Linked DNA regions of Oryctolagus cuniculus. The protein of the gene in region 1 interacts with the protein of each later gene in a pairwise test. Links are inferred from orthologs where the notes say so. Each region holds a gene or a part of one and is shown on either strand. Other genes may lie near its edges.

Region 1 (4,321 bases):
TGTTCAGCATGCGCTGTCTCGGCCCTGAGCTCCTCCGACCATGGCAACTTGTTCAGAGAGCAGTGGTGCTACCCTGAGAGCATGTTAGGTCAGCTGCCATCTCCTGAGTTCAATGATCACATTCCAGTCACTGTGATCAAAATACGAGTTATTAGTTGTGGTCAAAGGTAGACAAGAGGCACTAATTGTTGAGGGAATACCCTCCATCAAAGAGGGTTCTAGGAATGACATGTGGAATGCTCGGCTTAAAGTGCTCACTACAACGTTAAAAAAAAAGTGTTGGAAAGGTGCCTACTGGTGAGAAAGCTAGGTACAATCTGAGGGAACAAAGCGTACATAAGAACTCTGCTCACATCATTCCAGCCATGATGAGGGAGAGCACAGTTTAGAGCTGAGTCTCAATTACTAGACCTCTGAATGAAACATATCCCTGACTGGAGACCAGCTCTTTAACTCCTCATGGAGACCGAACAAAACACTGACCACTATGTACGTCTTTTTGCTGTTCATTGTTCCCTCACCAAATAACCTTCCAATCTGAAACCTGGTTTCCTCCATGGATACTACCACTATAAAAAAGTCTACTATGGGCAAGTGAACAGTTTAAGAATGGTCTACAAACTATTTCCTGTAGGGTGGTTAGCAAAAACCTGAGGTGAGATGAGAAATCTGAGTTTCCAAATCTGGCAGACTGAGGCCTACACCCAAGGACAAGAGATCCGTAACATATTTATCCACTGGGCATGATTATGAGATCCAGGTCTGGGGTAGTAAAGGGCACGAATCCATCAGCAGCAATGGCTACCTTCTCCTACAAGTTGGTGGATGGCCTCAGCTGTCACTTGTAAGTCCAGTGGGCAGTGGCCCAACCCTGGCCCTTACACAGGTCTCGGTGACGAAGGAAACAGGCGTGGACCCGGAACCGACGGCCACAGTGGGGACAAGCATGCAGGGCTCCGGCATGGGTCTTCATGTGCTCTGTCAGATGGTGCTTCAGTTTGAAGCGCTTATTGCAGATACCACAGCCAAAAGGGCGAAGGCTGAAGGTCAGCATGATGTGGCGGTCACGCTTTGGCTTCACTGCAAAGCGCTTCCCACACAAGCAACCAAAGCGTTTTCCATCCGCAGGGGGTGCCCCGCCTAGCTTCACGGGACCGTGCACAGCCTGCCCAGCTCCCCCGGGCCCTCCACCGCTGGACAGAATTTCATTGCCATGAAGATCCACTGGTTTCCAGGATGGACCGCCTCCCCCAGATGCTGCCCCTACGCCTGAGGGCAACAAGAACCCCAGCTCCCCACTCCCCTCCGGGTCCCCTCCAGGAAATGCTTTGGTCTCCTCCTTTATTCCTCCAGACTGGGTTCCACCTCCTGACAACTCCTCCTTAGACTCAAAGGGTTCCTGCTTAATGTAGAAGATTTTAGGGGGCACTGCAGCAGGAGCGGCAGGAACCTCAAGTGGTGCATTTTCGCCCTCTGGCAGCCTGCGGGGAGTAGCAGGTACGGGCAAGGCGAGGGATCCGTGAGGACGGGGCAGACTCCCTGATACCCTCTGAGGCTGGGGCGTCTGCGAGAGGGTTGCTGACCCCTGGCCCTCCTCGTCGTCTTCCTCCTCCTCCTCTTCCTCCTCCTCCTCCACCTGAATCTGTAACACCTCTCCCAGTTCACTCCCCTCCCCTCCGATGGGGCTCTCAGTAGATGCAGGTCTCTCGGCAGGAGCGGAGGGCTGTGCTGGGGCCTGGAAAGGGGAAGAGCGAATGCACCAGCCTCCTGGAGAGGATGTGGTGGAAAGAAGTGCATGGTAGGAGGAGGCTCCTCGGGCTGAGATCCCACCACCTGAAGTCTCCAGCTCCTTAAGGATCTCCGAGCACTGGTCTACCACTTGCCACATCTGAAGGCCGCTGGCCACAAGGAGGTGGGCGGGGAGAGCATCCAGTGGCAGGCGGAGGTGCCCTGAATAAATGAGCTGCAGCAGCCCCTCGAAGGCATCGGCTTCGATGACGCTCGGGAGGGTGAGCCGTGGCGCATCGCCCAGAAGCAGCTTGTCGTGGAAGTAGGGAGAGGCGGCAGCCAGCACCGCTTTGTGGGCCCTAAGTTCCCGGCCCTGCACCAGCAGGGACACATCGCAGAACTTTCCCTCCAGTCTGTGGCGGTTCAGGGACTCCAGCAGCGCTGAGCTGTGCTGAGGGAACTCGATCTGGATTGTCCGCGGTGCTGAGCTGCACACTGCGGAGGGGGGCGCGGCAGGCAAAGGCGTCGAGGTCTCCATGGCCTCCTCGGAGATCCCAGAGGGTCGGCAAGAGGAGACGGAGTCTGGGGTGGAACCCACGTGAGAGGAAGGCTGTGGAGCAAAAGAGATGGGGTGCGGGGGTGGGGGGATGTCACACAAGCCCCAGAAAACGGGAACTGTATCTCCGCAAACAAATGCCCCCCTCCCACCTACAAGTAGAAACTCTTCCGGCCAGTGGCTGTGTCTGTATACCAGTCCCGCCCACCAAGAAGACAAAAACAAACAAAACACGAACCCCTGGTTTTAGCTTCCAGGCCTTGTGGAAGATGAGGAGGTCCTTCGGCTACCAGCCTAACCTCACCAGCTCCGGGTCGACTCCCGGCCCGGCGTTCCGTCCCGCTTCGCTTCACTCACTGTGCCCGCAGTGGCCAGCTCCCGGGTAGCCGCAGCCACGGGGATATCACGAGCCCCGGACCCCAGCCGACACGCCCCCGCCGTCACACACGCGGCGAGGCCCTCGCAGCCTCTCTGCAGCTACGGCGCCGTCTCGGGCCGGAAGCCACCCCTCCCCGCCGGACGCCGACGCCGGGAGAGGCGGGGGGGGGGGGGCACAACTGCAGCCAATCGGAATGGGGCGCCCTACAAGCCCTGTGTTGATTGGTTGCCCGGGCGAGAAGGGGCGGGCCGGCGGCGCCAGGGCGCGAGCGGGTGGGGGCGTCTCGGGGAGCTGCGAAGGGGAAGCCGTGGCTCGGGAGACCGCAGCCCGGAGAGGGCGGGCCGCCAGCCGCCCGCAGCGCCGAGGTGCTGGGGGACGAGGTGAAGTGGCACCTTGTGTGCCCCCGGCCCGGCGAGCAAGGCGTTGCCGTCCTCGCCGTCCGGGCCGGGGAAACGGCAGTGCTGGGTCTGGAACTCAGATTAGCTGAGGCGCCGAGTGCTCCCCTGCAGTCCGCACGGAATCGTGCCCTTCACCAATTAAACAAAGCCAGCTTCGTTTCTGGGTTCTCTTATATCCCGTCCTCTTTGCTCCTGGGGGTAAGTGAAGCAAGCGGTGGGTGCCAGTCGGCTGGACTGGGGAAGTCTGGGCCGTACGAACCCCCAGACTGCGTCTCCGCGCGGGGCAGCGCTTCTGTGCGGAGACCGGCATCGGGCAGGGATGTCGGCTTCCCTTCCAGGCTGTCCGCTCCCTCTCAGAAAATTAAAAGTCCTGTCACCCCCAGGCTGAGAAAGTTGGCACAGCGATAAAAGAACAATCTCCGTTTATTAAACATGATTTTTCTGTTTCACCACACACTCCAGAAAAAAAGGAAATGGGGCTGGGAGTGGAGAAAAATGGGCAGCGGTGGGGGATAGAGAAGGCTGGGAGTGGGTTGGGGAGGGAGAACGAGAAAACAAAATAAAACGGGTAGGAAGAGCATCTCCCTACCCTTAAGGTGGCGGGGGGGAGGGGGCCAGGAAGCTCTGTACAGGGGGGTTGCCCCCAGCCCACACACACACACCCCGGATATGTACAGTACAAACCCCAGATAATTACAACAGCCAAAGAGGAGAGGAGGAAGGGGGCAGGAGAGGGGAAGGCTGAGGTGGGGAAAGCAGAGGGAAGGGCACAGGGATAAAATTTCACATATTTACAACTTTTATATAAGTATAAATTTGGCCCCGGCTGGGTGTATGTGTGTAGGGGGATGGGACTGAAGGGGAACTGTCCATACAAAAGAAAGAGGGGAGGAGTCTGGGAAAAGTCTCAATACCAAACGCAAGAAGGGATGAGGGGACAAGGCTGGGTAGGGGACAGCAGTCAGGGAGGAGGGGGTACCAAGGAGGGGCTTCTTCCCTCCCATGGCCTACCCACCCCAAACCCCATCCATCCTACCTCCCCTATCCCGCCAGAGAGCTATGTACAGAGAAACACCGAAAAATTGTGGAGCTGGCGGGAGGGAGAGAGGTGGAGGGAGATTGGGGGGGGGGGAGGATGAGAGGGAAGCCCAGCCCTGTCCTACCTCCCCCAGGGGACAAAGTCATGGAAGGGGAGCCCCCCAATACCCCTCCTCCAACACAGGTCCCCCCACCCTGGGGGAGAGAGACATGGCTTTTCCT
Region 2 (3,563 bases), on another chromosome or scaffold:
TGGTGTGGATGAGCGAGTCTCTCAAGTCACCATCCCCAAGCAACCTCTACTCTCCATTCCTAACCCCAAATCTCTATGTTTCTTTTAAATTGCTTCATTTGTCCTACAGAATTCCTCATGTTCATGAACGAATTCTTTATGTTCAACATGCTCCTCCTCTACTAAACATTCCCATTCCTGAAAACCAATAATTACACATAGAAGATTGATTAGACTCAGGTTCTTTTGGAGATCATGAAATCCACTTTGTAGGTGGTACTGAGTGCTTTCTGTCTGCATTCTACCACCCATACATCGGTGAGGATATTCCATTCTCAGTGTATACAACCTGTTCTGCACTTATCAACTCTCAGAATCATTTCTGACCTAGCAACCCCCGAAATGAATTATCTTCACCTTTTTCTAAACCATTAACTCATAAAGCCAATATATTTTGATAACTCTTCAGTCTCTGAACTAAATATTATTCATCATATTGTAGAACTTCAAGTTTATTTTTTTTCCTTTTTGAAGTAACAGAAGTGAGTGGCAAGAAAGAGCATGAGCACACAGATCACCATCTGTGACGTTTTCAAGTTACCTGTTTTTGTCTTGTAATTAAGTCCCAGTCATCAACAAGCCATGGTTTGAGCTCTTCAGGAATCTTTACTTTAACTTCCACTCTGTTCATGAATGTTTCTTCCTAAACAGAAACAACAACACTATCAGAAACCCATCTTTTCTTGCTGAAGAGTAACTCTAGACCACAGGGAAATTTTGACCTTTAAGGACACTAGGAATAGATCAAATGCTTGCAGATGCCAAATATACAGGCAGAACTGTCCATTTAAAAATAGTACAACAGTACAAAAGTAAAAAAAAAAAAAAAAAAAAAAAGTAAATAAAAAATAAAAAAAAATAGTATAAAAGTAAAGACAAAAATCTTGGGGGAAGGGCTGGCACTGTGGCATAGCAGGTAAAGCTGCCTCCTACAGAGCCAGCATCCCATATGGGCGCCAGTTTGAGTCCAGGCCGCTCCACTTCTGATCCAGCTCTCTGCTGTGGCCTAGAAAAGCAGAAGATGGCTCAAGCACCCTACACCTGCATGGGAGACCCAGAAGAAACTCCTGGCTTTGGATTGGCCCAGCTCCGGCTGTTGCAGCCATTTGGGGAGTGAACCAGAGGATGGAAGACCTCTCTGTCTCTCCCTCCCTCTGTATCTCTGCCTTTCAAATAAACAAAATCTTTAAAGCACAGAACTTAGAGGGTTTCATGGCATCTCTTTTGGGTTCATTAAAGCATCTTGGATATGTCTCGAATAGGTCACTTAATATGACCTAAAAAAACTATCCTGTCCTCCAACACTGAAGAAATACTTGATCTTGTGTGTAAACACGAACTTGTGGCCGGTGCCACAGCTCAATAGGCTAATCCTCCGCCTGCGGCGCCGGCACCCCGGGTCGCTCCTCTTCCTGTCCAGCTCTCTGCTGTGGCCCGGGAGTGCAGTGGAGGATGGCCCAAATGCTTGGGCCCTGCACCCCACGGAAGACCAGGAGAAGCACCTGGCTCCTGGCTTCAGATCAGCGCAGTGTGCCGGCCGCAGCGGCCACTGGGGGAGTGAACCAACGGAAAAAGAAAGACCTTTCTGTCTCTCTCCCTGTCCACTCTGCCTGTCAAAAAAACAATTTTAAAAAAATTAAAAAAAAAAAAAAAAACACAGAACTTGTACAGTAAACCCCTGATGATGAAGTGATGAAGTGTGGAAGTCGAGAGCTATAGGTGAAATTAGGATTTATATATATATATAACCTCTACCCAAGGGCAGAAAGGAGGAAGGTTGTGTCTGACTGAAAATTCTAATAGTTACACAAGAAAAACTCACATTTTCAACAGTAGGATCTACACGGGCCCTTTTCTTCCGAGGAGGCTGAGGGGTCTCACTAGTACTGCCGCCATCTCCATTTCCAGGTGCTATTAACACACGGGTGTTGGGCAGAGGTAGGGGGATTTTGTTTAATAACTTTTTAAGAAAAACAGCCTATGACAGATCCTGTTACTTGAATCTAAGTTAAAAAATTATTTTCAGTGAAAGCTTAACTTTTAGGATCAGCTCCACCAAACATTATATAAGCAACACAATATCACTATGTTCTATCTATTTAAAAAAGTTATCTTTTCTGGGGAGTCATATATTTAAATCTTTAACAGTTTCTCATCAGCATAAGGATCATCAGACTTAGGTCTCTCCCACTGTGTATCTATCTCAACACTGCTGTGACACTCATTTGCGACCATCAAGAAACATACACAGCAAATTAAAAGATGTTATAATGGTATAAATCAATATTAAGAGAGTTAACATTCTTACTTTTCTGTTTGTTCTTTTTGGTTTTCCTAAAAGAAGAAAAGGAGAAAAAAAATTCAGTAAAAACAGCCTTTGTTCAGATCTCTTTTATCACAGTTAAATTCAAAGGTAGACTACCTTGGGTAAGATGAGGCAGTAAAAATTAAAAAAAAAGGGGGGGGGGGGGCTGTTCAGAAACAAGGATTTTTATTAACAGAATAACCCAATACATGGATGATAATTTCTACCAAAGTTGTATATTTTAAAAGTATGCAGTTTATAAGAGTATTACATTAAAGTTTACATTACTAATTCTACCAAGAAGCTTCAGTTTTACTTTCCCTACTGTTTTTGTTCCCCTTCCCAAAACATTAATTTTGTTTATAGACTTGCCTGTCTTAAACAGCAATGTTACTCTACTCTCATTGGTTCAAACTTAACTTTCTCTTCTCTATAATCCTTCCATTTAAATATTATACCCTCTTCTACCATATCTAGAACAAAGCTGATGTCTCCTTCCTATGTTATTATCTTTAGTAAAAACTCATGCCTTTTTGTAGTCTATCATATTACCCAATTAGCTATAGCTGTTTCGAGAACCCAAGAAAACAGCTGACAAAGCTTTGATTATGGATTACTTTTGTAGGCTCATTCCAGAACACCTGAATTTTACTTTACTATAGTTTTAAAACACCAGGGGTGGGGAACATCCAAGCCAGACTGAGGCCCACAGAATCATTTGGTCTGACCTTGCTGAGGCAATTGCAGGTAAAACACAGAATTCAGTAAGTCTATAGCAGGCTACTTTTTAAGCTGATAATGCTATATGGCCCAGAAATGATGTTTTAAACATCCAAATGGCCCTTGGCAGAAAAAAATGGTTCCCCATCTCTGTAAACGGGGCCAGCGCTGTGGTGCAGCAGGTTAACACCCTGGTCTGAAGTGCCAGCATCCCACATGGGTGCCGGCTGAGATCCCGCTGCTACACTTCCGATCCAGCTCTCTGCTGTGGCCTGGAAAAGCACTGCAAGATGGCCCAAGTCCTTGGGTTTCTGCACCCACGTGGGAGACCCAGAAGAAGCTCCTGGCTCCTGGCTTCAGATCGGCGCGGCTCTGGCCATTGCAGCCAATTGGGGAGTAAACCAGCAGATGGAAGACCTCCCTTCCTCTCTCTCTGCCTCTCTTTCAAATAAATGAATCTTTTAAAAAAATAATAAACAATGTATGTTATGAATTATAT

The links. The genes of interacting proteins can lie anywhere in the genome.
Region 2: the proteins of ZBTB9 (region 1) and MORF4L1 interact in binary tests that used the Homo sapiens proteins (3 or more experiments, as listed by UniProt). The two-hybrid records come from large-scale screens. The link is inferred for Oryctolagus cuniculus from reciprocal best matches to the Homo sapiens genes ZBTB9 and MORF4L1.

The regions. Positions count from the first base shown.
Region 1 is NC_091436.1:135,695,462-135,699,782, forward strand, and holds the start of ZBTB9 (zinc finger and BTB domain-containing protein 9), read right to left. Parts: upstream 2,809-4,321; 5' UTR 2,523-2,808; intron 2,339-2,522; 5' UTR 2,267-2,338; coding exon 839-2,266; 3' UTR 1-838. UniProt on the Homo sapiens protein: May be involved in transcriptional regulation.
Region 2 is NC_091443.1:105,825,174-105,828,736, forward strand, and holds part of MORF4L1 (mortality factor 4-like protein 1), read right to left. Parts: intron 2,374-3,563; coding exon 2,348-2,373; intron 1,951-2,347; coding exon 1,862-1,950; intron 683-1,861; coding exon 581-682; intron 1-580. UniProt on the Homo sapiens protein: Component of the NuA4 histone acetyltransferase (HAT) complex which is involved in transcriptional activation of select genes principally by acetylation of nucleosomal histones H4 and H2A.